4 linked regions of the Notamacropus eugenii genome follow. The protein of the gene in region 4 purifies or fractionates together with the protein of the main gene of each other region. This does not show direct contact. Links are inferred from orthologs where the notes say so. Each region holds a gene or a part of one and is shown on either strand. Other genes may lie near its edges. The genes, in order: SMG7, SLBP, UPF3B and UPF1.

Region 1 (7,002 bases), on a different chromosome or scaffold from region 4:
CCACGCCCCAGGTCGGGCCCCCGAGCCGCCGCAGCCGCCACCTTCCCCAGGGGCCCCCACCCCTGGGGGGGCCGGCCGGGGCTCCCCCAGCCCCGCACAGGAACTCCCCATCCCCCCCAGCAGCTCCCTCCGGGCCAGTGCCCGGCCCCGGCTCTCACCGGAGATACTGCGCGCTCTGCAGGCTCATCCTCCGCCGCCGCGTCTCCCCGCGAAGCGTCCGTGGGTCTCTCAGGCTCCTCGGAGCGGCCCCGCGGTACCGCTGGTGCTGGCGGCGGCCGCCATCTTCCTCTCCTCCGGCTCCTCCTCGCCCGGCGGGAGGGGGGTGGTGAGTAAGGCGGTGAGGGGGGGGTGGGGGAGGGAGCGGGTGAAGCTGCTCTCGCTGCCGCTCCGGCCCGTGGGGCGCAGGGACACTACGACCCAGGAGGGGGAGGGGGGAGGGTCCTCGGAAGGGGGCGGGAGGACTGGGGAAGAGGAAGGAAATCGGAGGGAGCCGCTCTCGCGAGACTTCGGCCGCCCCGGTCCCACCGCCTGATTTCCGCCCTTCTGGAGAGACTTCGGGAGCGTCCGGGCGTGTACTGCAGTTGCGGCTTCTCAGTGGCCTGCTAGTGGTGCTTGATCACTTTGGGTTTTGTCTTCCTCCCGCTTCCAGCGGGAAGGGGCAACCCCAGCCGCTCCGGGAACATCGAACCCGAAACAAACTGGAGTTACACTCAAAACCTTCCCCCGTCTTTCTCTTCACCGCAGCCCAAACTGGCTTCCTACTTCCACTCCCACACTCTTCCCCACCGGAAACGCCTCCTCTTCTTCCTACAGTTCCGTCGGCCGGTCCCCCGACGCTATTCTTCCCCTCGCGCGCTAGGGAGTGACGCGAGGGACCCCTCCGCCTCCTCTCCCCGGCCCCTCCCCCTGCACGCGGAGGGACTGTTAGAGGGGGTGGGGAGCCCGGCAGGAAAGGAAACGAAACCAATGGGATTGGAGGAGCGGCTGCCATGGCGACGCGCAGCTGCGGTGGTATTGCCATGGTAACCAGTGTGTGAGGCGAGGGGAGAGGGGGACCCTTCCCGAGGCGAACAGGTTCCGGGGAAGACGCCCGCGGCCGCCCTCTGCTTTCCCCGAGTTCTTCCGCCTTGTCTGCAGGGTCGGTCCCTCGGGAATCCCCGTGCCTGATCTCCCCAAGTCCTTTCCGCGGCCGGGGCGACCCCCTAGTCCTCTAAGCGCCCGCAGGCAGGGGCGGGGCGAGGCGGCGGCAGCTCCGGGGAAGACCGAGGGCTTTCCCGGAGCCGGCCTGCGAGAGGCGGGATCCCTGCATGGCTGCGGCTTGCGAGGCGTTGGGGGTGGGGAGGAGGGAGCCCCCCCCCTGGCACGTGGAGCTGCCCCCGGCCCCTCGGGTCCGGGAAATCTTAGTGACAGTAGATCTTTATAAAAAGCGGGGCCTTTAAGAGTGGCGGAGGGTCGGTCGTGGGCCGCCCCGCGCGGGGGCAGCGATCAAGGTCAAAGTCATCGCTGGGGGCGCCCGCGTGTCCTCCGGCTCTCGAGGGTCGGCCCGGATTGGAGGAGAAGTCACAATGTATCGAAGCGCGGCGCCAAAAAAGTATCCAGTCGGCCTTGGGATCGAGGCCCCGGAGCAGAAGGTCTGGGGAAGGGATGTCGGGGTTTTTGTTTTAAGTCATCTCGCCCTCGGTACTGGGTCCTGAAAAGCCGCCGAAAGAAGGACCCAAGTCGGTGGTACTATGCTGGAGGGGAAAAGTAGCAAGAGGAGCAAGGAATCGCTGGATTATTGATTTTCCATCTTGCCTAGACTCTGCATGTGCTTTTAGGGGACTCATACTTACTTGCCCTTCTCGGGAGGAAACTACCGGGACACTAATCATCTTTGTTGTTCTGTCATTGTCCTACTAGCTGAAGGAACGTTTCCAAGATCCTTCACTTCCTGGTCCACTAAAAGAAAATGTCCCATCTGTTTAAAGTCCAAACATGCAAGTAATTTGGACTAGCAAAAAAAATCCAAGTACAATTTTGAAAGAAGAATTCGCGACGCAATTTATGAAATCAATTTAACTAGGTCCTAGTACTGATAGAAATGTATTGTCGGGGCATTTCCTGGGACTACCACGCCCGCGATGACCTAAGTTTTGCTTGTCATCTGAGACGATTTTCAGCAGTACAGTGCCCCCTGCCACCACACTTGGGCACTGACTCACGCTGACTCAACAGGGAAGAGAGCCATCTAGTGAGGCAGCTTTCGCCTGGTGCATGCACTGTGAGAGAATCAATACGTTTCTATAAAGTAACTTTATTTCATCCCTGTATTTTACTATTAATAATTGTATTGTAAAAAATATTTTGTAAATCATGAAGTACAAAATGAATTCTGTGAGTACTAAAGAGTTACCCTGGCAAATTGCTTTTAAATATTTTGTTTTTGTTTTTACTATAACAAAGAATAAAGAAAAGGCAGGGAAAAATTCAGTGAAACTAACCTAACACATCAAGTCTAACATTAGATACAGTTTCTCATACCAACAGGCTGCTCCTTCTGCAAAAGAAGAGAGGGGAAATGTCCTCTCAGATCTCTTTGGGGTCAACTTGTCATTGTAATTTCATAACATAAAGTTGCATTTATTTTTCATTTACATTAGTGTTCTGTTCACTTTAAATCAGTTCTTGTCTTTCATACTCATTGTTTCTGACAGTGCAGGAGGGAAGCTAGCAAGGTGGTATGGAGCCTGGCAGGAAAGGAAGCAAACTGAATTTAGGATGGGAGTTCAACTACTACTTCAGACACTAGCTCTGTGATTCAGGGTAAGTTTACTCTCAACTCAGCCTCCGTTTCCTCCTTTGTTACATAAGAGAGTTGAACTCACTAATATCCAAGGTAACTTCTGTCTCTAAATCAATGATTCTAATAATCCATTACATTTATACACCACAGTTAGTTTTAGCCATTTCCCAATTGACAGACATATACTTTGTTTCCAGTTCTTTGCTAATAAAAAAATCTACAATGCACAAATTATCTCTTGTCTTCATCCTTATTTTTTAATCCTGTTTCCTACTGTGTATTCCATCAGTAAATATGTTGAACTTATATAAGCACCTTTCATCAAGAGAGATGTTTTGTTTTTCCCTTCAATCACAAATTCCCACCAGCCTTCATTATATGCAACTGGTTCTAGACACTAAACTGGAGCCACCAGATAACAAAAAGAAGAGGCCCTTCAATTTCCTTTAGGCCTTCCATGATTTTGTTGAGTCCTTGAATATGTGCATATTTTCCGGAGGAGAGCATTGAGAATGTATTTTAGGTTTCTTAATGCAAAAATTGTTCACTTTTTAATGCTTTGTATCAAGTTATACATAATAGTTGGGCTCTCTACCACTTAAAATTTCAGAATCACGAAGCATTTGGAACTCCACCACTTTGCATTTCCCCTCAAAAGAAAAAAAAAAGTGCTGTGCATGGATTATTTCCACAATCCTCCCAAGAAACCTCCTCACAAACCCTAATCACCATTCCCATTAGAGTCAGAAGGTAGGCTTCTGTGCCCACAGTTGTGACTACGTAAACCATTATAATGTTAGGACATTAGAAATAAGATTTTAAAGGTCTTGTACATTTTGGAATCCTTCACTATTGTGACTATTATTAAAATCCACAAATCTTCGCCAAGCCAAGTAAATAGTGTACACACTTTTTAGCCACCCACCAAACTTCCTGAAGTTCTTGCTTTTATCTCTCTCATCAAACTGACCTGTATGAAATTTTACGAAGTAATAATTCATTACAATATTTGATCTACATAGATTTAATGTTTACAAAGCTCAAGTGCATTTCAGTGCTTAATTATTTTTAATCTGGATGATGACAATGATTATGGAATTATGCATGCCTGTCGCTGAAACCACAGAGTCACAGAATCCATCCTTTCAACTCAGCTGGCGAGTGTGGCCTGTTTCAAGTAGGTGTTTATGCATTCTTTTCCTGGGAAGTAACTTAGACTATCTTTGGGAGCCTGGATGGTGGTGGGCTGGTACTACAGGCCTGTTTGTTAAGAAATTAAGATTTTAAGTCATCAAAGAACCCCAGAGGGAAAGGATGAAACAAGCTGTACATTCTCAGATTTTCAAAGATGTCTGTGAGCTAGCATCATTTCTATGCAAATATCAACCCCATTTAATGCTTGCTCGGTGTGACTCTTGTCCATAACCTCCTGTAAATTTACCAGGAGGTCCACCTAGTAGGAGGCTTTCATCAATTTCTCTTGACATTTTAAAGGTGCCAGTGGAGCACTCTGGATGTTTTACATGTCATTCCTCATCACTATGTGATCTTCTCTTCCTACTACACAGTTCTTTGATGAAGTCTTTTACTCCTTCTTTGAAATTCCTACTTAGTTATGTTCTGAAGCTTGTACTACATGCCTTTCCATCAACGTCTGTACAGTAGTCATTTTTATTCTTCAGAAACAGTTGTGTTCCATGCTTTGCTGCTGTATATCGATACCAGTAGTGGTATTCAGAACAAGGGCCTTTGCTTTCATGGGAAGCTTGGGATCAGTAAAGGAGCTTTGTGGTTTCTTGGAGGCAATACAGCCAGCCGCCATCCTCCTACTCAATTTTGTGCCTGACTCAAAGTCATCTGTACAATCCATCTGTACTGTCTGTCCCAAATATTCATACTGGTGGACAGACTCTATTGGTTGTCCATCCAAATTCATGTTGAAATCTGGACAATAGACATTCTTCATTTTCTTGGTCTTTCCTGTGCAGACCAAACAAACTTTGGGTGATTACAGCCCCATTGCAGAAGGCTCTACAATGTTTGGGGACTTGATACAGTCAGCACAATGACAATCACAGAAAAGGTCATCTGGTAGACTTTTACACCCAAGGAGAATCAGTATTATCTTTCCTGTCCTATGTGTGAAACTCAGAAGAGATTAAATGATTCAGCTGGGTGAATAAATGATTCATTCTGGTTCAAATAGCAACCCAATGACAAAACAATTTTGAACTGGGAGGATCTTGCTCTCCAGGTTACTGAACTAGGTTAGAGTCAACAATTGTTCTGAGGTGCTCTGCTAAATGTTTGTTCACTGATTCCTAAGAAACATTTGTCTGTCTCAAACACCCACTCCCACTACCCATCCCCAGAATATGCAATTCTAATTGGGGGAGAGGAAAGGCATTTTAGGTCCAAATCTGCTTTACCAGACTATGATCCTGCCAGGAGTGGGGAACTTGCAGCCTCAAGGCCACATGTGGCCTTCTAGATCCTCAAGTGCAGCCATTTAACTGAATCCAAACTTCACAGAACAAATCTCCTTAATAAAACAATTTGTTCTGTAAAACTTGGACTCAGTCAAAAGTCTGCACCTGAGGACTTAGAAGGTTCCCCACCCCTGATCTAGCCCATGTCCATTTTATCCAGAAGCACATTTTATAAGGAGATTTCCTCAAATGTTTGCTGGAATCTGCACATACAATCTCCACAGTTTCACTCCCCCAAAAAGGATGTCAAAGCAAGCTTTACCAGTCTTACTACAATCCCTTTTTAATATTTTGATATAACTAAGATCAAACTTTGGGTGCTAATCAGTTAACTTTGTTAACAACTAATTGCTTAGCGATATTGGGACACAGCCAAGCTCCTAGAAAGAAGTAAAGGTTATTGATTGAGCAGGTAGAAGACCACTAGGGCAAACTTTGTTTAATTTACAGGTTTGCCTAGGGTAAGCTCTGGTGTCCACACCTTTATCTGCCAACTCAGCCAAGGGGATTTAGATCCGTAAACCAGAGACCTAGATGGAAAAATGGCAAAATCATATTCATTTTAGAGTCGGTAAAAGTACCAGCCATCATCCAGTCCAACCAGTAATAAAAAGGAATTCCCGCCATAATCTACCTGATGAGTGAGCTAGATCTTCAATGAGGGGCAACCATCCTAATGTAGCCAATTGGATTACATCTTTAGATAGGTCTTGTTAGAAACTTTTTTCCTTCTGAAATCTACCTTTCTCCAATTTTCTCCCACTGTTCCTGATTCTGCCCTTGAGAGCCAAATAGAAGAATCAGCCAATCCTTCTTCCTCATGGCAGTTCTTTGAATACTTGAAGACATCTATAATGTTTCTACTAGTCTTCTTTTCTCCAGGCTCAACATCCTCTCCATTCCTTCAATTCTCATATGACATGAACCCAAGGACTTTCATGTTTTTGGATAAACTCTCCAGTTTATCAGTGTCCGACAATCTGTAGGACCATAACTGAGCAAATGCCCCAGATGTAGTGTGACCAGGAGCAAAGAGTAGGATACCATCATATCTTTTCCCTGGGAGCTAGGCCTCTCTTAATGAAACCCAAGACCCTATTAGCATTTTCTTTGACTACCCCAATTACATTGCTGAATTATATTGAATTTTCAGTTCATCACAACTCCCAGATCTTTTTCAGACAGAAAAGTCCCATCCTATTAATCAAAAAGCATTTAGTAATTGCTTTCTATGTGCTAGGTGGTATTCTAAGTATTAGGCCTACAAAGAAAGTAAAAATGCAGTCCCTACCCTCACATGAAAATAACTGTGTATATAACATGATCTAGCTAGCTAGCTATCTACAACATAAATTAAAGGTAATCTCATAAGGAAGGTTCTAGTGGGGGGAGAGGAGTGGGTTAAAGGTATATTTTTTAAGCTGATTCTTTACAACCCAAGTATAAGATTTTACATTTATCCTTACTGAATATCTTCCTTATAGATTCAGCCTAATGAATACTCTAGCCTGTCAGTGTATTTTCAAATTCTGTCAATTACTAGTCACTCTGCATTTATAACAAATTGCTATACTGAATTACCCATAACACATAAATTACTTTGGCCTAGAATGCAACCAAGCTAAAAGTATTTTTCTCTCCCCTACTTTCTGATTTTTGGAAGGAAGGTGAACTATTATTATATGACCCCTGGGAATGTGCTTAGCATTTGGGATAATATGAATGGTTAAA
Region 2 (7,301 bases), on a different chromosome or scaffold from region 4:
ACCCTGGGCAAGTCACAATCTCAATCTGCCCCAGTTTCCTCATCAGTAAAATGGAGATAACATCTATCTCCCAGGGTAATTCTGAGGATCAAATGAAATGAATTACATTTGCAAAGTATGTTGCAAATCTTAAAGCACAAATAAAAGCTCGCTATTGTTATCAAACTGGCTAACAGCATTCAGTCTCCTCGAAATATTGAGACTCAATCCTGGAGAAACAAATGTTCACATCTTCTAAAAAGCTAACCGAAAGCCAAACCACAGACACAAACATAAATCCCACAGTTTTATCAACTTATCTTATCAATGGTCTCATTGTCTACAGTATGCTCTTAATAGGCAATCCTGGGTTTAGCAATACAAATTAATTAGCCTCAAATATATGAACAAAAAGTTCAATCATTTTAAAACCTGGAGAATTCTGTACCCATTTTCTTAACTGTTAAATTTCCAAATGCTTTTTGTTAAAACTTACATTAGGTAGTAAAATTTTTAATCAACTAAAGCATAACCCACAGATAGCAAGATAATTTTTCACACCTAATTTAAGTGACTAGACATTTTCCTGCAACAATTTGAATTTTAGGGTTTTAAAAAAAATTTGTCCAAAATATATTTTTGGAAATGCTAAAAGGTCCTAATATAGACTAAGCTTATGGAAAGACCTGGACAGAAGCTGCACAGAAAGGGCAGATTGAGATGTGATGCAGTAAGTGCTGCTGTTGGCAGGAACACCCACATCCATGATATTACAGATCCACTGGATACAAAAACACATGACATAATATAGTGTATTACTTCTTTAGGTCAATGATATTTAAGAATGACACGGGCACCAGGGAACATGGATTCTATAATGGGTTCATGTCAGAATGACCCTTGCTGGGTCCAGTCTCACTAGTGTTCCCACAGTGGTAAATTCAACCCAGCCTCTCCAGGTTTCTATGAATTGGGATCATATACTTCTAACCAAGTTTAAATCCTAACTCTCCATATATTTGTCAGAGTATGCAAACATGGATAAAGGTTGAGATGTGTTCAAGTACATCTCCCAAATTAAGCACTACCTTTTCCCCAAGTAGAAAGCAAATACTCTAGGAAATGGAAACCAATAATAAGGTTTGTTTCGAATATGCCAACTAAATAAACCACACAACTTTTTCATAAAATGAAGACCAATTAGTAAAAATAGAAGTATGACGTTTCCCTTCAAATTTTCCCATGGCCTAGATAGATACCTCCTCTTTTCAGCTATCACATTTTGGGTCTCATTTCTCCCAAATGGGATCAAATAATAAATAATTTGATCTGACTACATAATTTTCACAAAACCCTCATGACTGCCAGTCACAACTTGCACAAAGAAAACAGACCCCCATGGCAAAGTATGTTTCTCGCACCTTTCAAGCCTGTTGTCTGAATTTCGACATTCCTTTTCTTCTGCATGTCTAGATTTGGACTCATCTTCAACAAACAGAGATGACTCAACATTTTCTGGTTTTCTGTGCCTTCCATCCAATCGTCTTTTGCGTCCAAGAGACCACCGGGATGGGGATGGAGAAAGTGTGCTAGGAAAGAGAAAAAGTTAGACTTACTAGCTGATCTCTTCTAAATTAGGAGGTGCTCTGGAGATTAGATAAAAGTAAAAGTACTAGCCTAGGAAACAGAAGAACCAGGTTCTAAACTTGGCTCCCTGTGACTTTCGATTAGTCAATTCAGGGCTCTGGGTTTCAGTTTGTTTCCTCATCTAAGATAAAGCATCAATGTAGACTATAGTAGTATCCCTTTCAGCCCTAAAATTTCCATGAGGTTGGGTTTTTGGCCTAATAACTTAATTTGGGGCACACATGGAAGGGCATCCTTTGGATAGAAGCGCACCTCTTGGTTTGCGTGTTCACCCCCCCCCCCCCTTTCAACCTCAGGGCCAACATCCAGTTGGTGAAGCAGCAAGAACGTTCAGCTGCTTCCTCGGGGACATTATTTCTCCCACATTTTTTCATTTGTAAAATGGCAGATTACAAAAACCCTCCCCCCTTTATGGGGGTGGTGCAAATGAGAGCAGCAGACTGGCGCAATGGAAGGCACATTTTCAAGCACACAGGATTCTAATTCCAGCTATGCCAATTAATCCAAATTATTCATTTTAAAAATGACTGAAACGATGTAAAATTGATTTTCAGGAGCACAGGATTCCAATTCCAGTTCTGCCAAATTAATCTGATTTAACAAATTAAAGAAATTCTAATTTGGACCTGGAAAAGTGACTTCGCTAGTAAGAAAGCCCAGGTTCTCTAAATAAAATCCTTTTTTGGGGGAGAAGCGGGTGTATTACAGAGAACACGACACTCCCCGACACTCGTACGCAACACTCAGAGTACCCCTCCCCCCCACATCTCAATGGCTCAGTACCGGCAATTTTGAAACAGGATAAGATGATTTTAAGGAGGTTGGGGTCCCGGGGCCCGCCCCTCCCCCCCTGCGCGCCTCGGTTCCTTCTTCACCAAGGCCGGCCCCGGCGGGCCCCTCGGGAACGTGGGCTACAAAGAGGGCCTCGGGAAGCTCCCACTCAGACATCGATGGCCAAATTCCTCATCCCAAGCTCCCCCCCCCCCCCCCCCAGGCCCTTCCTAACACGCATCCTTCCCGGCGTGAAGGCGTCTTTTCCCGCCACCCGCATCCCGGGGAGCAAGAAGGTGGAGCCGGGGCCGCCGCGCAGGCGCACTAAGGCCCGGGCCCGCCGCTAGCCCAGACTAGACGGCGAAGGCGTCCGCCCGTCGTCGCCCGACTTACCCGCTGTCGCCGCCCCAGCAGCCATGCCCTGGGCTCGTCCCGGCACTGCGAGGACTCGGCTGCCGGCAATCCATGATCAGGTGTGCGGCTGGGTGGGGGACGAGCTCTGGCGAGAGTAGAAGTCCCGTCTGGACGTTCCCTTCCTTAACGTCGAGCAGAGGAGCTGCTCCAAAGCCGCTGCACCGGCGCAGACTGATTTCGCGCGCGAGTGGCGACTTCCTCCAACGGCTTTTTATAAGCCTTCTGCCCCACCCCTCCCCCACCCCCTCCACCGCCTCTCGCGAGCCTGGGACGAACCATCGAAGCGTGGTCAGGAGGAGGCGGGGAGTCTGGAAAAGAGGGCACTAAGTTTCGATCCGGTAAAAAGGACGAGGGAATTTCCAATTAACGTCGGGGCAAAAACGTAATAGGAAAAAGGGCACGCAGATGTATAGGAGGATAAACGAGCCCCCACAGGTGGGTTTGGGAAAGGCGCAAGCAAAATCTCCCCCTAATTCCGAATTAGTTCGACCCAGAAGAAGTCCGGGCGGCAGATCAGCGCGCCGCAGGCTCTCATTGGCTCCTTCTGCGCGGGCTGGGGAGGGGTGTTGGCGGGAAATTCTGAAGCCGAGAGCGAAGATTAAGGCGGGGAGGAGGAGGGGGCGGGGAAATGGGGAAATGAGGGCTCATGCTCATGGCTGATTGGGCCGAATCAATTCCGTCATCTCAGGGCGGGGACGCAGAAAAAGACCGATCTTTGGAAGCTCTGGGCCGGGAGGAGAGATGGAGAGAACCCAATTCACTTCAGCTCCGTTCCATTCCAAGCCCAGTGACCTCCTGACTGTATCCCGCTTAGAGAGGTCCAGATCATAGCTTACAGACCGTCCAGTCCAGTCTCGTTTAACCCATGGAGAAACTCGTGCCGAGAGAGATGACTTGTCCAAGGTCACTCAGTCAATCCAGGTGCCCCGAGCCTTCGGGCCCCTGGCCTAGCTCGGACAGGAAGCACCCCCCCACACACACACATCTTGACCACTAGATCAATCCACAATCAATCAATGACCAATCAACATCTATTAAGTACCTACTGTGTGCCAGACACTGGGATTGGTGCTTCCAGCCCAGGGCAGCGTCCAAGGGTCCAAAACCATTAAAGAAGCCATCACCCCCTGCTGTGATAAGGCGGGGCCCTTTCCTTCCGGCGTGCCGCTGAAACCTTGGCCTCAGCCTTTGAAGGTGAGCGAGCTCTTCGAGGTCGGGCCGGCGTCTGTCTGTGTGTTGCACACAGTAAGCCCTTAATAAGGGCACAATGCCCCCTGGGCGCCGAACGAGCAGCGGCTGCTGCTTGGCCTCCCCGCTCCCTGAGTCAGCAGGGCCACCAGCCGCCCAAAGAGCGGAGGCTTCCTGGAGGGGCCGGAGCTGGGACCCCTCCCCGGCCGGTGGGCCGTGGTGCCCGGTGGTGCCCACCCTCTTGCCCCGAAGCCTCTCCCAGGGACGGCCAGTGCCAGCCCCGTTGGCCGGAGGTGGCCGGGCACGTGCATGGGCCTCGCCTGTGACCGGGGCACGCGAAGCCGGCCGCTCTGCACCGCCCAAGCTGGTGTGAAAGCGGGCCGTGGGGCCAGAGCTGACTTTATACACCCCGGGTCAACAGCCCACTCAGCCTGTCATCTGCCCGTCACTGTGATGGGCACAGAGGACAAGGAGAAGTGCGAGCACCCCCCCAAACCCCCCAGTAACCGCAGTCTTCTAGAACCTCCGAGGATGAGGAAGACAACAGCGCACAGCTGCGCGCGCATGCGCTGCAGGCGCTCTGCCGTGCGCGTGCGCCGCGCCACCACCAGGGGCTTTGGCTGACACTGAGTACTCTCTTGTACAACGATGTTCGCGCTTTCACAAAATCGTCTCAGGTGAATGGTTTTATTTGTCTTTTGTTGAGGTGAGGAGGTGATCGCGGTTTCACCGCACGCACATCTAAAGCACAGATAACTGGACAGTCATTTATTCACCCGCAGACAGGTAGCGCCCGTAACGCACGAAGATGCTGGCCGCCACAGCGTCTCGGCGGGAGGCCTCGTTCCGCGCCAAGCCTCCTCGCGGGCCGCGCTGCTGGGGATTCCGTTGTCAGGCCTTTCAAAGCGGAGCGTTTGTCTTTCCCGCAGCCGCAGTAGGAGCCCACGTTGCCTACCAATCAGCCTGAGTGGCGGCTTTGTCTGACGGAACGGAAAGATCTTTATCCAGCTGGAGCCAAAACCCCAAACAGTCTAAATCTAAATGTTTGTTTCGACATATCGATTAGCCGTGCTCGTTCTGGTGAAGTCAGAGCAAAGGTATCGTGTTTGTTCATGGCGGATGAGATCCTTATGCCTTCACATTCGGAAGTGTCTACATCTTTAAAATAAAATGACCATTGCGCACGTATACCCTGTGTCAGATTGTTTACTGTGTTACAGAAGGGGGAGGAGAGAGGAAAGAACAGGAGAAAATGTGAAACCTCAAAGGGATGCTAAACATTCTCTCTACGTGTAATTGGGAAATATGCAATATTATTTTAAAATTTTAAAAAATGAGAATAGAGTCAAATGGCGAGCAAACATAGCTTTACTTCCTTCTATTTTATGTGTGAGGTATGTAGTTCCTAACATGAGAAACATATCAAAAATGTCATTTTGCCAACTTAATAACCAGAGGTTTCACTTCTTCATAAATTTAGTCACTTAACCATTTTAGATCAGAGTATAAATTTGAGGAAAGACCTTGCATTGATTTAGTTAGAGCGCTAAGTTTTTTCAAAAATTATTCATCAGATATTCAAGTTTCAGGAGACATGAGGAAGCCATATGATTCACCTCCCACCATGGGCAACACCAACATTTTCCCTTTGTAATGAGGGAATACTTTTATATCTAACCATTCTGTAAGCAACCGTTTAAGAGGCAAATGTTTCTTTGCATCTTACAGACAAGGCTTTCGAAAAAGGCTGCTCATCAGAAGTGTCAGATTTTCTCTTCTTTGCATGTGTCCTGGGTATTTAAACTGTCTTTAATCCACTTGAATTGTAGTAGTTCAGCTGCTCCATTGGATTTCCTCTTGTATCCATTAAGGAAGGATATTATTTCACTTTTTAAAAAAATTACAGATGATGAAATATTTAATGGAATTAAACTTAAATGTCATTGTTGACCATTTCAGAGGATTACCCATTCTCGCTCCTAAGTTAATTCAATTTTTAAAAATTGTGAGTTTTCTTTGAAACCAACTTATACTGTTTGCTCAAATGAATGACATTGTGAAATATAACAAATATTATGGTCCTCTTAACTTCCAGGAACCCTGAGGGTCTTCTCCACCCAGTTTGATTTTTTTTTTTTTTATTAAAGAGGTCATCCCTTGAGTAACTACTTAAAGAAGCCTATTCATTGAATGGGTGTATCTCACTCAAAGTGAGAATGTGATAAGACTTAGCCAGAAAGGGCCAGGGTCTCACATTGCATCCTGGGCCATCTCCAGCCATCCTGAGGAATTTCAGGCCACTGCACCCAGATGGCTCAGGAGAAGAAAGTGAGGTTGGTGACCTTGCACAGCCCTCCCTCCCTCAAATCAGTCAACTGCAAGTCATGTCATCACCTTGATGTCATGATCCTCTTTGAGAATGAAGGGCAAACACACAAAAAAACCCCAAGAAGAGCGCTTAACTTTGCCTTGGCTCTCTTCACAAATTCGGACCTCTGTGTCATAGGCTTCTGTGAACAGTGGTAGATCACCCTGCCTGTCAGGTCGATCAGTCAGTCAACAAACATTTATGAAGTGCCTACTATGTGCTTGGTACTGTTCTAAGCAGGCAAACAAACAGGAAAAAAAGTAGACAGTCTCTGCCCTCAAGGAGGGGAAGAAAACACACAAAAGGAAGTTGAAAAGAGTGTAGGGGTGGAAAAGTAAAGGAAAAGAAAAGGGGGGAGAAAATAGGGAAGGAGGGAGCAAGTGATGGAGAAATCCCCTGACTAAAATTTGACTTCATTTGTGTAATATACATATACATATATGTATATATTAGTGTATGATATATATTATAATATATGACATGTGTGCATGTGTGTATCCTTATGTATAGGTATACACCTTTATTGCATTCATTGTTAGTAGGATCAAATTTATTGTGATCGGATTGCTTCGGTTGGTTGTTTCAACTTTGTCTTCATTTTAAAAAAAGATCTATTTTCTGCAGAAGTTGTATTCTCAAATATTTAGTAATGTTCACCTTTGCTTATTGGTTTGTTTCTTTTTGCTGTTATTTAATTTTTACATTCATGTGTTCTTTTTAAAATGAATTAAAAAAAAAACCCAAGCATTTATTTTCTCCCACAACATTCCCCAATCCCCAGCAGAGGGAAAAGAAAAAGAAACCTTTATAACAAATATGCATAAACAAATCCCCAGTTTTGCTGGCCATTGTTTTGTGATACACTGACAGTCTCCTCCTGGGCTTCCCTATGGTCTGGAGGTAAACTCGAGTTCTCTAAGGTTATGATAACCGA
Region 3 (7,465 bases), on a different chromosome or scaffold from region 4:
GTAAACCCAAATCTTCCTCAATCCAAATCCAGCACCAAATTTCACCCACTTGTACTGCCTTTGATATCAAGGCATTATACTTATTTGCAAGGATGCCTAAAGGTTAGAGCCTGAATCAAAATTCGTGCTAATCACACACAAGAGCTTTGAAGATCTGGGAGCGTGGTGTGTACACAGGATACACCATGTTTCTAAGGCAAGTAGATATCAAAGGCCCTCTTTGCCAGGACTCACCTTTATGATCAACGAAAACGTAACCATCAAAGCGATCCCTGAACAAAACAATGTCCTCCTGGTTTTTAAAGTTGATGTATGCTCTAGAAAACATATGAGGATACAAACTGCAGAAAGAAAGAACAAAATGTAAATGTGCTTGAAGGCCCCTTGCTGAGTTGCATATATGCACATTAGTTCTATAGGGAGATTAGACCCCAACATATAACGAGGAGCATTTGCAAGACAAGCACTGATGAAGCCTTAAAAAACAACCAAAAGAATTGTTTTGGTTTTTTTTTTTTTACCTAGAATCATTTGCAAAGAACTCAAAATAATCATGTTCAGGCAGAGGTTGAAGGTGTTCTTCAAGCTGTTCCTTGGTCAAAGTAGGAGGCAACCTCCGAATGATCACCTTGACACAAGAAGGAAAAAGAATGAACTGCATTAATTCCCCATCTCCTGATGATTAGGTCAGTCCTGGTTTTTGCTCAGCCCAATGATTTCACTTCTTGGTGCATCTTTCACTTTGTTTCTTGCTGGTTCAAAAACAGCAACTCTGTAACTTCCAGCAAGGTTACTTTAACCAAGTTTCACATGCTAAGATTACGTGCCAAGGACAGGAATTTTCCTCCTGTCCAGTACTAATTCTCAAAGTTCAAGCTTATTTTAAAAATATGCATTCACTTAGACTATTGCAGACTGATCCTTACTTATTGGTAAGGCTTATTTTAAATAGCAATTGCTTATATTTTTAGATAGCATTTTATGATGACAAGAAAAGACATTTTATATCTTCATATTATTTGTGTCTCACAACAACCTTGGGAGGAAGGGGAATTCAAACACCATTATGCCCACTTTACAGGTGACGTAACTCAGAGGCTTACTCAGACATGGATCATTAGGGTTGGAAAGGGATTGTTAACCTGGGTCTGCCTCCTTTATGATGTAAGTGAACAACAGATTGAAATTCAGAGGGGGTAAAGTGATTGGCCTATGGACACAACTAGTAATTAAAGATTAAATCTAGTTCTCCTAATTCCTAGTCCAGTATGTAGTGGAAGGCTTCATGGTAGGTAAAGTGGAAAGGTCACTGAATTTGGCCCAGTTCCATCACTTTCAACTTGCACGACCTTGACCAAGTCTCTTCCCCCCTTTGGGTCTCAGTTTCCTTGACTGCAAACGAGGAGACTGGACTAAGTGACTTCGTTTTACAGAAGAGAAAAACAGATTTTGACCTGCCATAGGCAACAGCTAGTCAGCCGGAGCCCAGCACAAGGTCTGCGATTTATTTTTCTTTTAAAATATCATACGGAAGCAGCCAGTAGCTACCCCGGGCTTTCGGGTGTGTCCACTAAAACTTACAATAAGAATCCACTCCCCAAACCCAAGTTCTCTGCAGTTCTCACAAGACCAGATTGATCGGCAAAACCACCCAAGCCCTCTCCACCATCTCCAATCTCCACCCTGCAAGCCAAAGGCAGCTCTGCGCATGTGAACTGCATTTCTCCGAAGGGGAGGGCTTCGTTCGAGAGGAGGGGGGTCGCTAGCCAAGGTGGGGGCTCATCCTCAGTGGGTGAGATTAGGTATTTCCAGGAAGGGAGGGAGAGAGTAAGGTGGGAAGGGTCCTCCCCATCTCCACTCTCCCTTTCCCCCTCCCTTCCTCCATTCCTTCTCTCCTCAATCCCTTGCTTTTCCCCCTCCCCTCTCTGCCCCGCCCTCCAAGTCCTCAGCTTTTCCCCCTCTGCCCTCCCCCCACCTTACCTGCTCCCCTCTCCACCCTCATTGATCCCCCCTTCCCTACTCCCTTGCACTGCTCCCCTTTGCGTTCCCCGCCCTCGTCGATCCTCATCCCCTTTCTGCCATTTCCGTCCCTTCCTCCACCATCCCCGCCCCTCTCCCAGCTCCCGTCTCCGAACCCTTCCCCCACCCTACCTGCTCCCCTCTCCTCCCTCCCCCACCCCGCTGTTCCCCCTCCCCCCTTCCCACTGCTTCTGGCCCTCTGGGCTCTCTCCACCCTAATGGGCACCACCCCAAGCTTGCCTCTCCTGCAGTCGCAGTCTCCCATCCCCCTTCCCCCCTTTCCCCCCCTTTCCCTCCTTCCGCTCTCTGCTGCCCCATTAACTCTTTCATTGCCTCCCCTCCCCCAGCTGCCTTCTCCCCCGACACAATTCGTGTCCGGTTTTGGATCTTTGGCAGCGCGAGCCTTTCGGGGGTCCTGGGACGGGGGGGAGGGGGGGAAGGGAAAGGAAGGGGCAGGCGCGGCCTCGTGCCGGGCAGCTGATTCAGAGAAGGAACCCGTACGTGCCACCCGCACCTTGCTCAGCATCTCCTTCTTCTCTTTGAATCGCTCGGCCTTTCTCTCCTGGGTCTTGGCGCTGTCCACCGGGCCGCCGCTGAAGCTTGCGCTAGCTGCCGCTGGAGCTGGGGCTGGAGCTGGGGATGGGGCTGGGGCCGGGGTTGGAGCTGGGGCTGGGGCCGAGGCTGAGGCTGAGGCTGAGGCTGGGGCTGGGGCTGGGGCTGGGGCCGGGGCCGGGGCCGGGGCTGGGACAGAGGCTGCAGTTACCGCTGCCGCCGCTGCGGTGACTGCTGCTGTGGTGACCGCCGCCGCCGCTGTCTCTGCTGCTGCTGCTGCTGTCGCTGCTGCAGACGAGACTGAAAACGAGGGCGGCCGCTTCTCCTTGGGCCTCGCTTTCTCCTTATCCTCTTTCATGGCCCAGCCTATACCCAAGGTAGCGTCAGGATGTCATCACCATAAGCCCGCCCCACCCCGAATTTGCAGCTCCTCCCATTAAATCCTCTAGGTCCAACCCGCAATCGTGGCGCAGTGAACTACGATCGCGCGAGATGCTAGGTCGCCTATGTCACCCCACCCCCCACCCCCCCCCGCCAGGTCGGTAAGGGACTGGCAACACCCTAGCATTTCCATCGGAACCCACCCGAGGCCGCTCGCGGCCCATTTCCCAGCTAGGCTCAAGGCGCCGCCCGGGGCTGTTCTTAGCCGTCACTGGTCAGCCCCGCCCCCTTTCTGCCAGAATCAATTTCACTTTGATCGCCTTGAGAACTACAAAACTCAGCATGCCAACTGCAAGTTGCTTCTGGAGCCTAGGGACTCCACTGAGGGAGTTCGGTTTCACTCTTTAGCGCCTTAAACTGATAGGAAAGCCTAGGTTATGGAGATGGCCCTGTTGCTTACCCTCGATCCTTCTGCGGATCATGTCCCTAAGTCGTTCCACTCGCTGTCACTCAAACTACATTCTAATCTCCCATCTCCTATCTTTGCCCTGACTGCCCCTCAGGTCTTTAATACATTCCAACCCCATCCTCACTTCCAATTTCCTCAATATTTCTTTTCTTGTTACATTAATGCGTCTCTCCCGGATAAAAAACAACCTCCTTGAGGTCCTTGGCTGTTTCAACCGTTCCCTTCTCGTGTCCTTGTATCTAGCGTCTAGTTAGTGTTGTTCAGTCGTTTCCGACTCTTCGTGACGCCATTTGGGGGATTCTTGGTAAACCTACTGCAGGGGTTTGCCATTGCTTTCCCAGTCCAGCTCTATGCAGTGCACTTACCTAGCTGCCCAGCTTAGCACAGCGCCTGGCACGTAGTGAACACTAAACAATCACTTGTTGACTTAAAACCAGTTTCCACTCGGCTTGCAAAGCTTCCTGGCTAACCAAAATGACTGGTAATCCTGGATCATTGTTTCATTCAATATTTAATTGAATAACACTATAAATGCAAATTCCCAAATTGCTGACTTAGTTGTAGTACTAAGTAAATATGGGGCTGTGAGAGAAGACTGACTTTGATGAACTTAGCCCTTCTCTGCGATGCAAGGACCTAAAGCATTTCCAAAGGACTCACGATGCAAAATGCCATTCACATCCAGAGAAAGAACTATGGAGTCGAAATGCAGAATGAAGCAGACTATTTTCTCCTGTTATGTTTTGTCTTTCTCATGGTTTCTCCCATTCGCTGTAATTCTTCTATGCAACATGACTAATGTGAAAATGTGTTTAATGGGAATGTATGTGTAGAGCTATAATAGATTGCATACCATCTTGGAGAGGGGAAGAAAATTCGAAACTTATGGAAGTGAATGTTGAAAACTGAAAACAAATAAATTAATAAATTTGGGAAAAGAAATAGTTTGTAAAACTATTGAGCAAAAAAAAAATTTTTTAATGGGGCTAGAAGACTTAGATTTTAGTTCTGCTTTCAACATTTTGATAGATGTTTGCCCTGAGTATCCGTTCCCTCCCCTCTAAAAATGATAAGAGCTACCAAAGTGCTTTAAAATTTACTTTCACAACAACTCTGAGAGGTAGATATTATCTCCATTTTACTGAGGAGGAAACTGAGGCAGGTTAAGTGACTTGTTCAGGGCCACACAGGTAGGAAGTATCTACAAATAGAGACAGATGTTAGTACTTGCCTGTGAGTCAGATGAAATTAGGCTCCAGGACAGCTTCAGCCAATCTGGCAGATCCCTCATCACTATTTTAAAATACAACTTGAAGTAAAAAGTATAAATTCATGATCTTGAGGCTTCATAAAGATATGTTGTAAGTAAAAAAGTGTAAATGTATTGCCTTCAGGACTTCAAGATATGTTGGTATCTTATTTTGTTGATTATTGACTCATTTCTTGCAATAGCTCTGCTCAGTAGGTCAAAAGATTAATTTGGGAAGATGAATGAAACCTTCAGTTTGATGCTGCTGAAGAATTAATTTATGTAAAAATGTTTACTAGACAATAGGCAGATATATGACTGGCACTAAGGTTAGGGCCAGAGAAAGAGATGTGGCAGTAATTTGTATAGAAAAAAGTTGATTCTAGTCTATTAATAGTACTTAGATGAATTTATAACCTGACAGTGTTTCATCACCTCCACATAAAATGTCATTTCCAAAAGAAGTCACTGTAGACAGTTGGCTACAGAAGTACATTTATAATGAAAAGTCCAGCAGTTCTGTGCACTGTAACGATCTGCACCAATCCAGCAATGGGAATGAATACCAGTCACCTAATATAACCAGATTAAATGCTAATCAGTCAGGCAATGTTCATCATGGTTACTAAGAAAACAGAAGACCTTTCATTCTAGGAGTTCACAATTCAGAAGGGATGTTCACAAGATAAATTCCCCAAACCTGTCTCCCTAAATGAATCCTTCAGGTCTTTCAAGAGGTCCTCACACTAGGGACAATAGGGCATGCTTTATATTTACTGCTGATAGTGAAAGAAGAGTCTCATGTATTTTTGAAGCAAAGGTGTCAAGAGAACAATGAATAGTTCAATAGACCACTCCTTAGAGGGCAGACTGCCTAGGTTTAGTATTTTACCTTTAGCACTTAGCAGGTACTTAACATTTATTCATTCATTCCTTCATTAAAGAAAGCAGCACACTTCTATAACCACTCTACTTCTAAAGAATGAATATATAGATAGAATGGATAGAAGTTAAAATATTGCCAGTGATAGATAATACTTGTATGAGGGTGGGCAAGTCATTTAATATCCCTGTACCTCAGTTTCCTCCTCTTTAAAAGGAGAGGGTTGGAGTAAGTGGCCTCTAAAGTCCCTTTCAACTCTAGATCTATGGTCCTAAAGAGGTGTCCCAGTATGGAGGTCCTCATCCAAGAAACAGGACAAAAGCCTTTATTAATCACCATCTGCATTGCTGCTGCACCCTAAGGACCATGGGACTTTATCTTTGGACTTGCAGCTGAAAACTTTCATGTGTTATCTCCTCCACTGACTGTCTTTTCTATATGTCCTTAGTGCTTTGTACATAGTAGTTCTTAAATGTTTTATTCGTTTATTACAACACCCTTAAGAGCTCCTTCAAAGTGTACCCCAGATCCTTCTGGCACATTAGTCAAGTAGCAGATTACTTTGAACCCTGGATTCAAACCTCCCCCACTACTCTCTCCCAGGTTGGCTTGGTAACCCATGGATACCAGGCAATTTAAGCCTCCCCATTCTCCATTTCCACCCCAGTTTAGCTAGAAATCTTTATGGGCACCAGGCAATCCAAGCCTCCCCCACACTACCCTGGTTTAGCCAGAATGGGTACCAAATAATCCAAGCTTTCCCTCTTCCCTATCCGCTCCCCCCATTCCAGTTCAGTCTGGTATCTCATGGACACCACGCAACCCAAGCCTCTCCCTCTATTCCAGTTTAGCCAGAATGGGTACCAAGCAATCCAAGCCTTCCCTCCTCCCTATGCCTACCCCCCCTCCCCATTCCAGCTTAGTCTGGTACCTCATGGGCACCAGGCAATCCAAGCCTCCCCTGCCCTATCCCACTTTAGGCAGAATGGGTACCAAGCAATCCAAGCCTTCCCTCCTCCCTATACCTATTTCTCCCCCCTCCCACGCCCCATTCCAGTTTAGTATGGTACCTCATGGGCTCCAGGCACTCCAAGCCTCCCCCACACTACCCCGGTTTAGCCAGAATGGGTACCAAACAATCCAAGCTTTCCCTCCTCCCTATCCGCCCCCCCCCATTCCAGTTCAGTCTGGTATCTCATGGACACCATGCAACCCAAGCCTCTCCCTCTATTCCAGTTTAGCCAGAATGGGTACCAAGCAATTCAAGCCTTCCCTCCTCACTATCCCCCCCCATTCCAGCTTAGTCTGGTACCTCATGGGCACCAGGCAATCCAAGCCCCCCTCACACTACCCCAGTTTAGCCAGAATGGGGACCAAGCAATCCAAGCCTTCCCTCCTCCCTATACCTACCCCCCCTCCCCATTCCAGCTTAGTCTGGTACCTCATGGACACCAGGCAATCCAAGCCTCCCCTGCCCTATCCCACTTTAGGCAGAATGGGTACCAAGCAATCCAAGCCTTCCCTCCTCACTATCCCCCCCCATTCCAGCTTAGTCTGGTACCTCATGGGCACCAGGCAATCCAAGCCCCCCTCACACTACCCCAGTTTAGCCAGAATGGGGACCAAGCAATCCAAGCCTTCCCTCCTCCCTATGCCTACCCCCCCCCCCCATTCCAGCTTAGTCTGGTACCTCATGGACACCAGGCAATCCAAGCCTCCCCTGCCCTATCCCACTTTAGGAAGAATGGGTACCAAGCAATCCAAGCCTTCCCTCCTCCCTATACCTATTTCTCCCCCTTCCCATGCCCCATTCCAGTTTAGTATGGTACCTCATGGGCTCCAGGCACTCCAAGCCTCTCCCACACTACTCCAGTTTAGCCAGAATGGGTACCAAGCATTCCAAGTCTTCCCT
Region 4 (7,597 bases):
CTTTCACATCTCTAGAGCTCAAGTCATTGCCAAATGTCCAGTGAACATCTCAGGAAAATCAGAATTTGAATACTACTTCAGACTCTGTCTCAGTTTGCTCATCTACAAAATGGGGCTAACTACTACTACTACTACTACTACTACTACTACTACTTCATAGGGTTGTTGTGAGGTTGAAATGAGATAATACATGGAAAGTGTTTTGTAAATCTTAAAGCACTTTAAATATTAGCCATTATTATTATGACTACATCCACACCTCAAAATTAACTTGTTTAAACCTGAAATCATCTTCCCATGCTACAGTGTCCTCCAGAGGTATCGATCATGAGGCCCTGATGCAGTTGAACTCCAGTTCAAATGTATTCGGGAAATAGTTAACAAAATAAATAAAAATACGATAAAATACAATATTCCATTTTGTGGTTGGTATGTTGTTCCAGTCATGTCGGACCCCATTTGGGGTTTTCTTGGTAGAGATACTACAATGGCTTTGCCATTTCCTTCTCTACCTTATTTTGCAGATGAGGAAACTGAGGCAAGCAGGGTTAAGTGATTTGCCCAGGGTCACACAGTTAGTAAATTTCTGAGGCCAGATTTGAATTCAGGAAGATGAGTCTTCCTGACTGCAGGCCCAGCACTCTATCCACTGTGGCACCATACATAATGTTAATATGTGGTTTTCTAAGTCAACCTTCTATAGGGTTTACTGGCCCCAATTCTCTTTGTGTTTGATACCAGTGGTGAATGGAGGACTTCTGTTTGAATCTTGCCTCTGACATTTTCCAGCTTTGTGAGTATGAACTAATCACTTTTTTCTTTCACCTTCCATTTCCTCATCTCTCAAATGGGGATAATAACCCCGTCTACCCCACAGGACTGGTGGGAGGTGCAAATGGGAAAAGGTACATGGAAAGTGCTTTGGAAATTGCAAAAAGCTTTAAATCTGTTATTATTATCATGATATCTGTAGTGAGTGCCCTCTGTAAATCCTATAGAACCACACAAACATCAGTTATCATCCCAATACTTTGCAAACATTGAAGTGCTTCATGTCAGCTATTATATTATTATTTCTCCAAGCCTGCTCAACTCCCCTTTGGGGGCATAGGATGTTCCCAAGCTCCATCCTCCAGACTGGCAGCTTCCGCATCCTCTTGGGCGTTCTTCTTTGTTCCTGACCCCACCCAACATCCAGACAGTTGCTTTGCTGCTCATCCCTCCTGGCCTCTCTCTGCCTCTCAGTTTGCCTGGTCTTCTTCAAAACTCAGTTCCAATCCTACCTTTGCCAAGAGGCCTCTTTCCCTGTCCCTCCAGCCGCTAGTGCCTTCTCTCTGAGATCACCTTCCATCCACATTGTCCAGTATATATCCTGCACATTCATGGTAGTTTTCTTATTGTCACCTCAAGTCAAATCAGAACCGTTGAGGGTGGTGGATTGCAGTTAATTGAGGTGGATTGTGATTAATTCCATTTTTTTTCCCTCCTTAATGCTTAACACAGATTATGCATTTAATACTTGTTTAGGGGCAGCCAGATGGTGCAGTAGATAGGATGTGGCCTCAGACACTTGCTAACTATGTGACCCTGGGTAAGTCACTTAACCCTGATTGCCATAAATAAGCAAATAAATGCTTGCTTATTGGACTGACTACGTCTCTCAAATCTGCTCCTTTCTATCTAATCAAATGGCCAACACCATTCTAACGCAAGTCCTAACCAAGTCTCTTATTTTATTTCCTTGCTTCTAGTCTAGCTTGCCTCTATCCCACACTTTACACAGCTGCCAAAATAATCCTCTAGTCACTCCCCTTTCTCAAAATCCTGCCATGACTCCCTATTGCCTCTAGAAGAAAATATTAAACTCCTCATAATCTGGCTCCAGCTAACTTTTCCAGTCTTATGGCCCATCATTCCCCTTCATGAATTCAATGCAATAGCTAAAGTGTTGTTCTGTCAGTCACTTCCAATTCTTAGTGACACTGTGCACCATACTGTCCATGGGGTTTTCTTGGCAAAGATACTGGAACGGTTTGCCATTTCCTTCTCCAGTTATAGCTAAACTAGATTATGGCAGAATCTAGTATCTCTCCCTGGCTATCTTCTGTGTATGAAGTGCAGCGGAGAGAGCACTGAAATGGAATCAGGAAATTCTGAGGTCAAATTTGGCCTCAGATACTGACCAGCTGTGGAACTTTGGCAAGTCATTTAACCTGTTTGCCTCAGTTTCCACATCTGTAAAAATGGAGATAATAATAGCAATTACTTCCCAGAGGTGCAAGATAATAAAATAAATAAGGATAAAATAAGTTCATATTTGTGAAGCTCTGTAAACTTTAAAGTACTATAAATGCTACCTATAATTATTATTATTATGTCTTTCTAAATTCTTCTCTTCCTTCAATGGTGACCTTAGGTGCTACCATTTTTAAGTAACCTTTCCTTAATCCTCTCCTCATTCAATCCTTCCCACTCAGATTTTCTGAGAGTACTTTGGATGGATCTCTTTTGGTTTTGTTTTGCCTCTCTTGGGTCCATGTTACATCCTTACCTTTGCCCCCCACCCAGTAGAATATTCTCCTTGAGGCAGGGTCTCCTGTCATTTTTATAGTATTTATCTCACCAACATCCACTTCAGGGTTTTGCACTGGTCGGTACCTCCCCCAAATCTTTGTTGAATGAATGAATGAATGAGGAAGTTGCTGTGAGGCAGATTTCAGCTAGATGTAAGAAAAAGTTTCCTGACCATTAGGGCCATTCCAAAGTTGAATGGGTTAGCAGAGGCTGAAAGGTTGCTTGTTGGCCATGGTGCAGAGGGGAATCTTGTTCAAGTATGGTTGAACATAATGCTATAAAGGTCTGTTCCAGCTCTGAGAACCTGTGATTCTGTGGAAAAGAGAGAGGAGATAGCAGGAGGAGAGTAGAACCTGGGCAAATCTTAATGTGCATAATCTCTGATGCATCCATCACCCACAAGCAGGGAACCTTGGTGTTGAAAGCAGCCCTCTAGTCCAAGTCATGTCCCCTATGGCAGGGGTGGCTTGAAGACCTTTCAGGTACAGGACATCACTCTTGAGAGGCCATGCACTTCCCTAGGAGAAGGCTGTCATATAGTCTCTTGTAGTTTGTGGGTGTCCACCAGACTTGGAGCTCCCTGGCCAGGAGGCCAGTATCTCACTGTCCTGGGTTGTGATCCCACGCCATCTGCCACGCGTGGGGGCACGTTTCAGGAAAGGCATGGCCAACCTGGAAAGACCCGAAGGAGGGCTGGCAGGGTAGCGACGGTGGCTGGAGAATTCCTACGGACGGATCCGAGCGGTGTTCAGCCTGGAGGGTGCCAGTATCCGAGGAGCTCCTGGGCAGAGGAGGGGGGCTGCCTTGAAGTCCATTTCCAAAGTTCCTCAGAAGAAGGCTGCCCCAAAGGGACAAGGGCCGCTGTGTCCTGGGGTGGCCGGCCCCTTCCTGCCCCGAAGCCTGCAGGCAAAGTTTGGATGACCATTTGACCGGTACGTGGTAGACGAAAGAAAGGAAAAACTGGCCACATCTCTGAGGTTCTTTTCCAGCACAGAGATTCTGAGGGTCTGGGTCCGATCCCGACTTCAAGTGTGGGCAGGCCCCGCACACACCAGGAGCCCCATGATTGCGGATGACACTGCCAGGATAGCGCCGGGGAGTCACAAAGCCTCGGGCTTCACAACCACCGGGTGTGACACGCGGAGCAGAGCCGAGCCCGGGGGCTTGCGGGCCGGGCAGACCCCGCCCCGTCCCCGCCCCACGCGCCCAAAGGTCTGCAGACGTCTTAACAGCTCTGCCGGCAATCCCCCCACGAGGCAAGCGGTGGCAAGGGTCAGCCTCGGGCTGCAGGGTCAGGCCCTCTACTTTAGGCTGAGTCTCAGTTTCCTCATCTGTACAATGGGGATCACAAAGAAACGGAAGCGGAGGGCCGCCCGGCTCCGCCCCCACCGCCTAGGCGTGGGGCCGAGCTGGAGTCGCGAGCTCCGGGAGGGCGGGGCCGGGAGGGCGGTGTCGAGGGCGCGCCGGGGCGGATGGGCGGGAATCCCCTTTCGCGGGGGGACGAGCCCTGCAGCTCCCCCTGGTATCCCGCCGCCCAAGAGGGGGCGCACGAGCCCAGCAGGCCGTAGACGTTCAACGACCCGCTGGCCCCGATTGGGACTGAGGGAGGGGAGGAGGGAGAGGGAGAGCGACAGGAGTCACGTGCTGGGCGGCCGTTGGACGCCCAACGTCCGCCCCTCGGGTTCCCCCCGCCCCCTCCGCGGGGGTGGGGAGATCAGAGGGCGGGCCCCACCCACGCGTTGGCTCCGCCTCCCTCCTTCTCCCGCCCTCCGCGCCTCGTGCGCTCTGCGTGCCTCGTCAGCACGCTCTCGGCGTCCTCTCCGAGGGAGGCGGGGACTGAAGGGAGCGAGCGGAGTCCCGACCTAAGCGGGGGGTTGGTGGGGGCAGTGTCGGGCACGCGCGCGGCGGCGGCGGTTCCTGGTTTAGCGTGTAGATTATATAGGAAGAGGAGGAGGCTCGGGAGGGAGGCTTTGAGGCGAGGCCCTGGTCGGGGTCGCGGCGCGCGCGCTCTCGCGGCGGGTCGGTTCGGTTCGGGCGGCGGGCGCGGCCAGGCCTTGGGCGCGCGGGTTCCGAGGTAGGCGCGAGGCCGCGGGCGGAGCCGGGCCCTCGAGTGCGAGACCAGGCCGGAGCCGGCGAGGCGAGGCGAGGCGGAGCGGCGGCGGCAGCAGGCCAGGCCCCGGGCGGCGGCGGCGCCATGAGCGTGGAGGCGTACGGGCCCAGCTCGCAGACCCTCACCTTCCTGGACACTGAGGAGGCCGAGCTGCTGGGCGCCGACACCCAGGGCTCCGAGTTCGAGTTCACCGACTTCACCCTCCCCAGCCAGACCCAGACGCCCCCCGGAGGGCCTGGCGGCGGCGGCGGAGGCGGTGGCGCGGGAGGGCCGGGAGCCGCGGGCGTCGGGGGAGCCGCGGGCCAGCTCGACGCGCAGGTGAGGAGGGCTGGGGCCCTGCCCCTCCGGCGGAGCTCGGGGGGCTGCCCCCTCCCCGCCTCGGGGGCCGGGTGGCGAGGAGGAAGTGACTCGCCCCGGGGGTAGGTAGGAAGTGGAGCCCGAGCCTGCCGCCACCCCCTGCGGGGGAGATCTGGCCCTTTGGGGAGTTCGGATCCTCCCCCTCCTACACTTTCGCTGTGGGGGAGGGGCTGCCCTTAGAGAAGGGGCGTCATTTGGGGTGGGGGGGCACCAATCCCAGGACTCCGCAGCCTTTTCGGGGGAAGTGCAGCTGACAGATTTCCTTCCTCTCGGAGGCCAGGGGGGCTCCCTTGGTTTCTGAAAAATCCGACTGGGTCGGGGTGCAAGGGGCTTCCTGCCCCCCAGCTCCCCACCTGTTCTTGCTCCACTTTGAAAATGTGAACCTGGCAAAGATGGTTTGCTTTGAGCCAGGTATCTGTTACTCTCTCTTTCCAGGAAACTGAATTTTACCAGGCCCGGGATGTGCAGGGGACACAGCTTGGTGTTCAGATCGGAATTTTTTTTTCCCCCTCACATCGTAGAAGTACTGTTGTCTTTTTAAATGTGTGTGGGACTTCCTACTTTTAATTACAAGTGATTTCTTATACAGGGTCTTAGCAAGGTTCAAATACACATGTTAGTGGCAGGTCGTTTTTCTCTTCCTATTGGCTTTACCTTGTTGAAAACTTTAACCCTTTATGAAAGCAACAGGTATCGTAACTTTCACTTTTATGAAATACTTTAGAACAGATACGCTTCCTGCTACCTGGATATGGATCTCTTTCTTCCTGAGTACAGCCATCTGTTCTTATCTGATTGGCCCAGTCCTGTCTTTGTTTGGTCGTTACCTGACTCCTAATAGCTGTGTGACCCTAAGCGAATTAATCTCTTTGAGCCTCAGTTTACTTATCTGTAAAATGAAACTAATATTTGACCTACATACGTAGCATGTTAGTGAAGAAATCTCTTTGTGAGCCTTAAAGGGCTACAAAAATAAATATTTCCAACATTTTGAGTAAGAGCTGGAAGCTTTTCTCTTTTTCTTTTTTTTTCTTTTAAACCAAAGTTGAGTTCTCTTGAGGTTGACAAGGGGCCTGAGCTTCCCAGAGATGAAGTGATGTGCTCATTGTACTTTAGGGATTGAGCATAGTGGAACCTTTTGGATCCAGATCTTTCTCAATTCAAGGCTCTTTTTGTTACATCATACTGCTTTACAACATTATTTCTTTAAAGGTGGCAAGTTGGTGGGTGGAGCATCTGGTTTGAACAGGTGTGCAAACATGTTCTGCCTTTTTGCAGGTACTGAAGGAGGATTTGCCTAAAGAACTTGGGAACCAGAGAGAAGGATAGTAGAAATTTCTAACACTAGTATCAGTGCTCTGTAAAACATCATGTCTGTATATCAAATAAACCAAAACAATCACATATATGTAGGTACTTTCACATGTAATATGTAGCAAATATGTCAGATTGTACTCAGTGAAAATCTAATTTATAATTAGCCGTGATGCTCTTTGTAGAGAGGAGAGGAGAGGAAGGAGCTGGGTGGCATTTTGTCTACTTATATAGTGCTTTACAATTCACATGGTTTTTGTTAAGAAACACAGTAGTTTAGATTATAAATGGCAGCTGATAGTTTGTAGAAACTACCTTGATGGAAGTGTATTCTTGGGTAACATGAGTAGTTTACCTGTGCTTCACAGCCAATATGTCTAAAGTAACTTTGGGTGGTGGCAGTGTTGTCCAGTTTATAGGTTTTGTTGCTGATAGCTTGATAGCTCAGAAAGCTCCTGTTTGGTTTGTCATCAGCTGGTAGTAGTTGTTTGTCCTTTGAAATAATGGTTATTTTCATAAAGACTAACATTTCATTTTAGGTGAGCAGAACTTGTCATTAAGGTGACTACCGAAGTAAAACTTGATGTTATTGTTAGCAGAAATTTCTTCTGCATTTATACAATGCAAAGGTACCTCTCCTTCAATTTTCTATCCCTATTTAAGGAGAAAAGGTGAAGATTTAGTTTTTTTGTAGAGGAGATGAGGACCTTGATTGATAGGGATATGGAGAAGCAGGGTCAGTTTTGAAAAGATCTATCCCCAAGGTGCATTCAGGATCAGTATGTCTTTTGTAGTAATTGATGTCACCAGGTACTTCAAAACACTTGGGAGCTATTTATCTTACCTGAATTTCGGAGCTAGTGATGTAATCAACTGTAAGAAAGGAGATCCTAAACTAGAAACCATTGAGCTTTTTTTTGAGAAATGATTCAGGATTTTAAAAGGGGGGTGATTTTTATGATTTTGACACTTTTGAATAATAAAAAGAGGGTAAAATTCTTTATCATTTGAAGTGCTGGGTTTTGGTTTTTTTTACATTACCTTTGACTTTGCCTGTTAGAATCATCAAATATTAGAACTAGAAGATGATCTTTAGGTGATCCAATCCAACTCCCTGGTTTTGTAGATGGAGAAACACCCAGAGAGGGTGAGTGACTGACGAGAAAAATCTAACTTATTTCTCCTGACCTCCAGTCTAGTTTTTAATCATATGGTTTTATTATTATTTTTTTTAAAGACAAA

What was found.
Region 1: the proteins of UPF1 (region 4) and SMG7 purify together in Homo sapiens (affinity purification with western blotting; 7 studies listed by BioGRID and IntAct, with this or other methods). This does not show direct contact. The link is inferred for Notamacropus eugenii from reciprocal best matches to the Homo sapiens genes UPF1 and SMG7.
Region 2: the proteins of UPF1 (region 4) and SLBP purify together in Homo sapiens (affinity purification with western blotting; 4 studies listed by BioGRID and IntAct, with this or other methods). This does not show direct contact. The link is inferred for Notamacropus eugenii from reciprocal best matches to the Homo sapiens genes UPF1 and SLBP.
Region 3: the proteins of UPF1 (region 4) and UPF3B purify together in Homo sapiens (co-immunoprecipitation; 16 studies listed by BioGRID and IntAct, with this or other methods). This does not show direct contact. The link is inferred for Notamacropus eugenii from reciprocal best matches to the Homo sapiens genes UPF1 and UPF3B.

Annotation. Positions count from the first base shown.
Region 1 is NC_092873.1:461,640,753-461,647,754, forward strand, and holds the start of SMG7 (nonsense-mediated mRNA decay factor SMG7), read right to left. Parts: upstream 3,011-7,002; 5' UTR 188-3,010; coding exon of another isoform or gene 159-187; intron 1-158. UniProt on the Homo sapiens protein: Plays a role in nonsense-mediated mRNA decay. Recruits UPF1 to cytoplasmic mRNA decay bodies.
Region 2 is NC_092877.1:50,014,943-50,022,243, forward strand, and holds the start of SLBP (histone RNA hairpin-binding protein), read right to left. Parts: upstream 3,022-7,301; 5' UTR 2,865-3,021; coding exon 2,791-2,864; intron 1,569-2,790; coding exon 1,401-1,568; intron 1-1,400. UniProt on the Homo sapiens protein: RNA-binding protein involved in the histone pre-mRNA processing.
Region 3 is NC_092879.1:43,539,077-43,546,541, forward strand, and holds the start of UPF3B (regulator of nonsense transcripts 3B), read right to left. Parts: upstream 3,013-7,465; 5' UTR 2,930-3,012; coding exon 2,534-2,929; intron 629-2,533; coding exon 522-628; intron 342-521; coding exon 235-341; intron 1-234. UniProt on the Homo sapiens protein: Involved in nonsense-mediated decay (NMD) of mRNAs containing premature stop codons by associating with the nuclear exon junction complex (EJC) and serving as link between the EJC core and NMD machinery.
Region 4 is NC_092875.1:66,552,549-66,560,145, reverse strand, and holds the start of UPF1 (regulator of nonsense transcripts 1), read left to right. Parts: upstream 1-4,597; 5' UTR 4,598-4,768; coding exon 4,769-5,002; intron 5,003-7,597. UniProt on the Homo sapiens protein: RNA-dependent helicase required for nonsense-mediated decay (NMD) of aberrant mRNAs containing premature stop codons and modulates the expression level of normal mRNAs.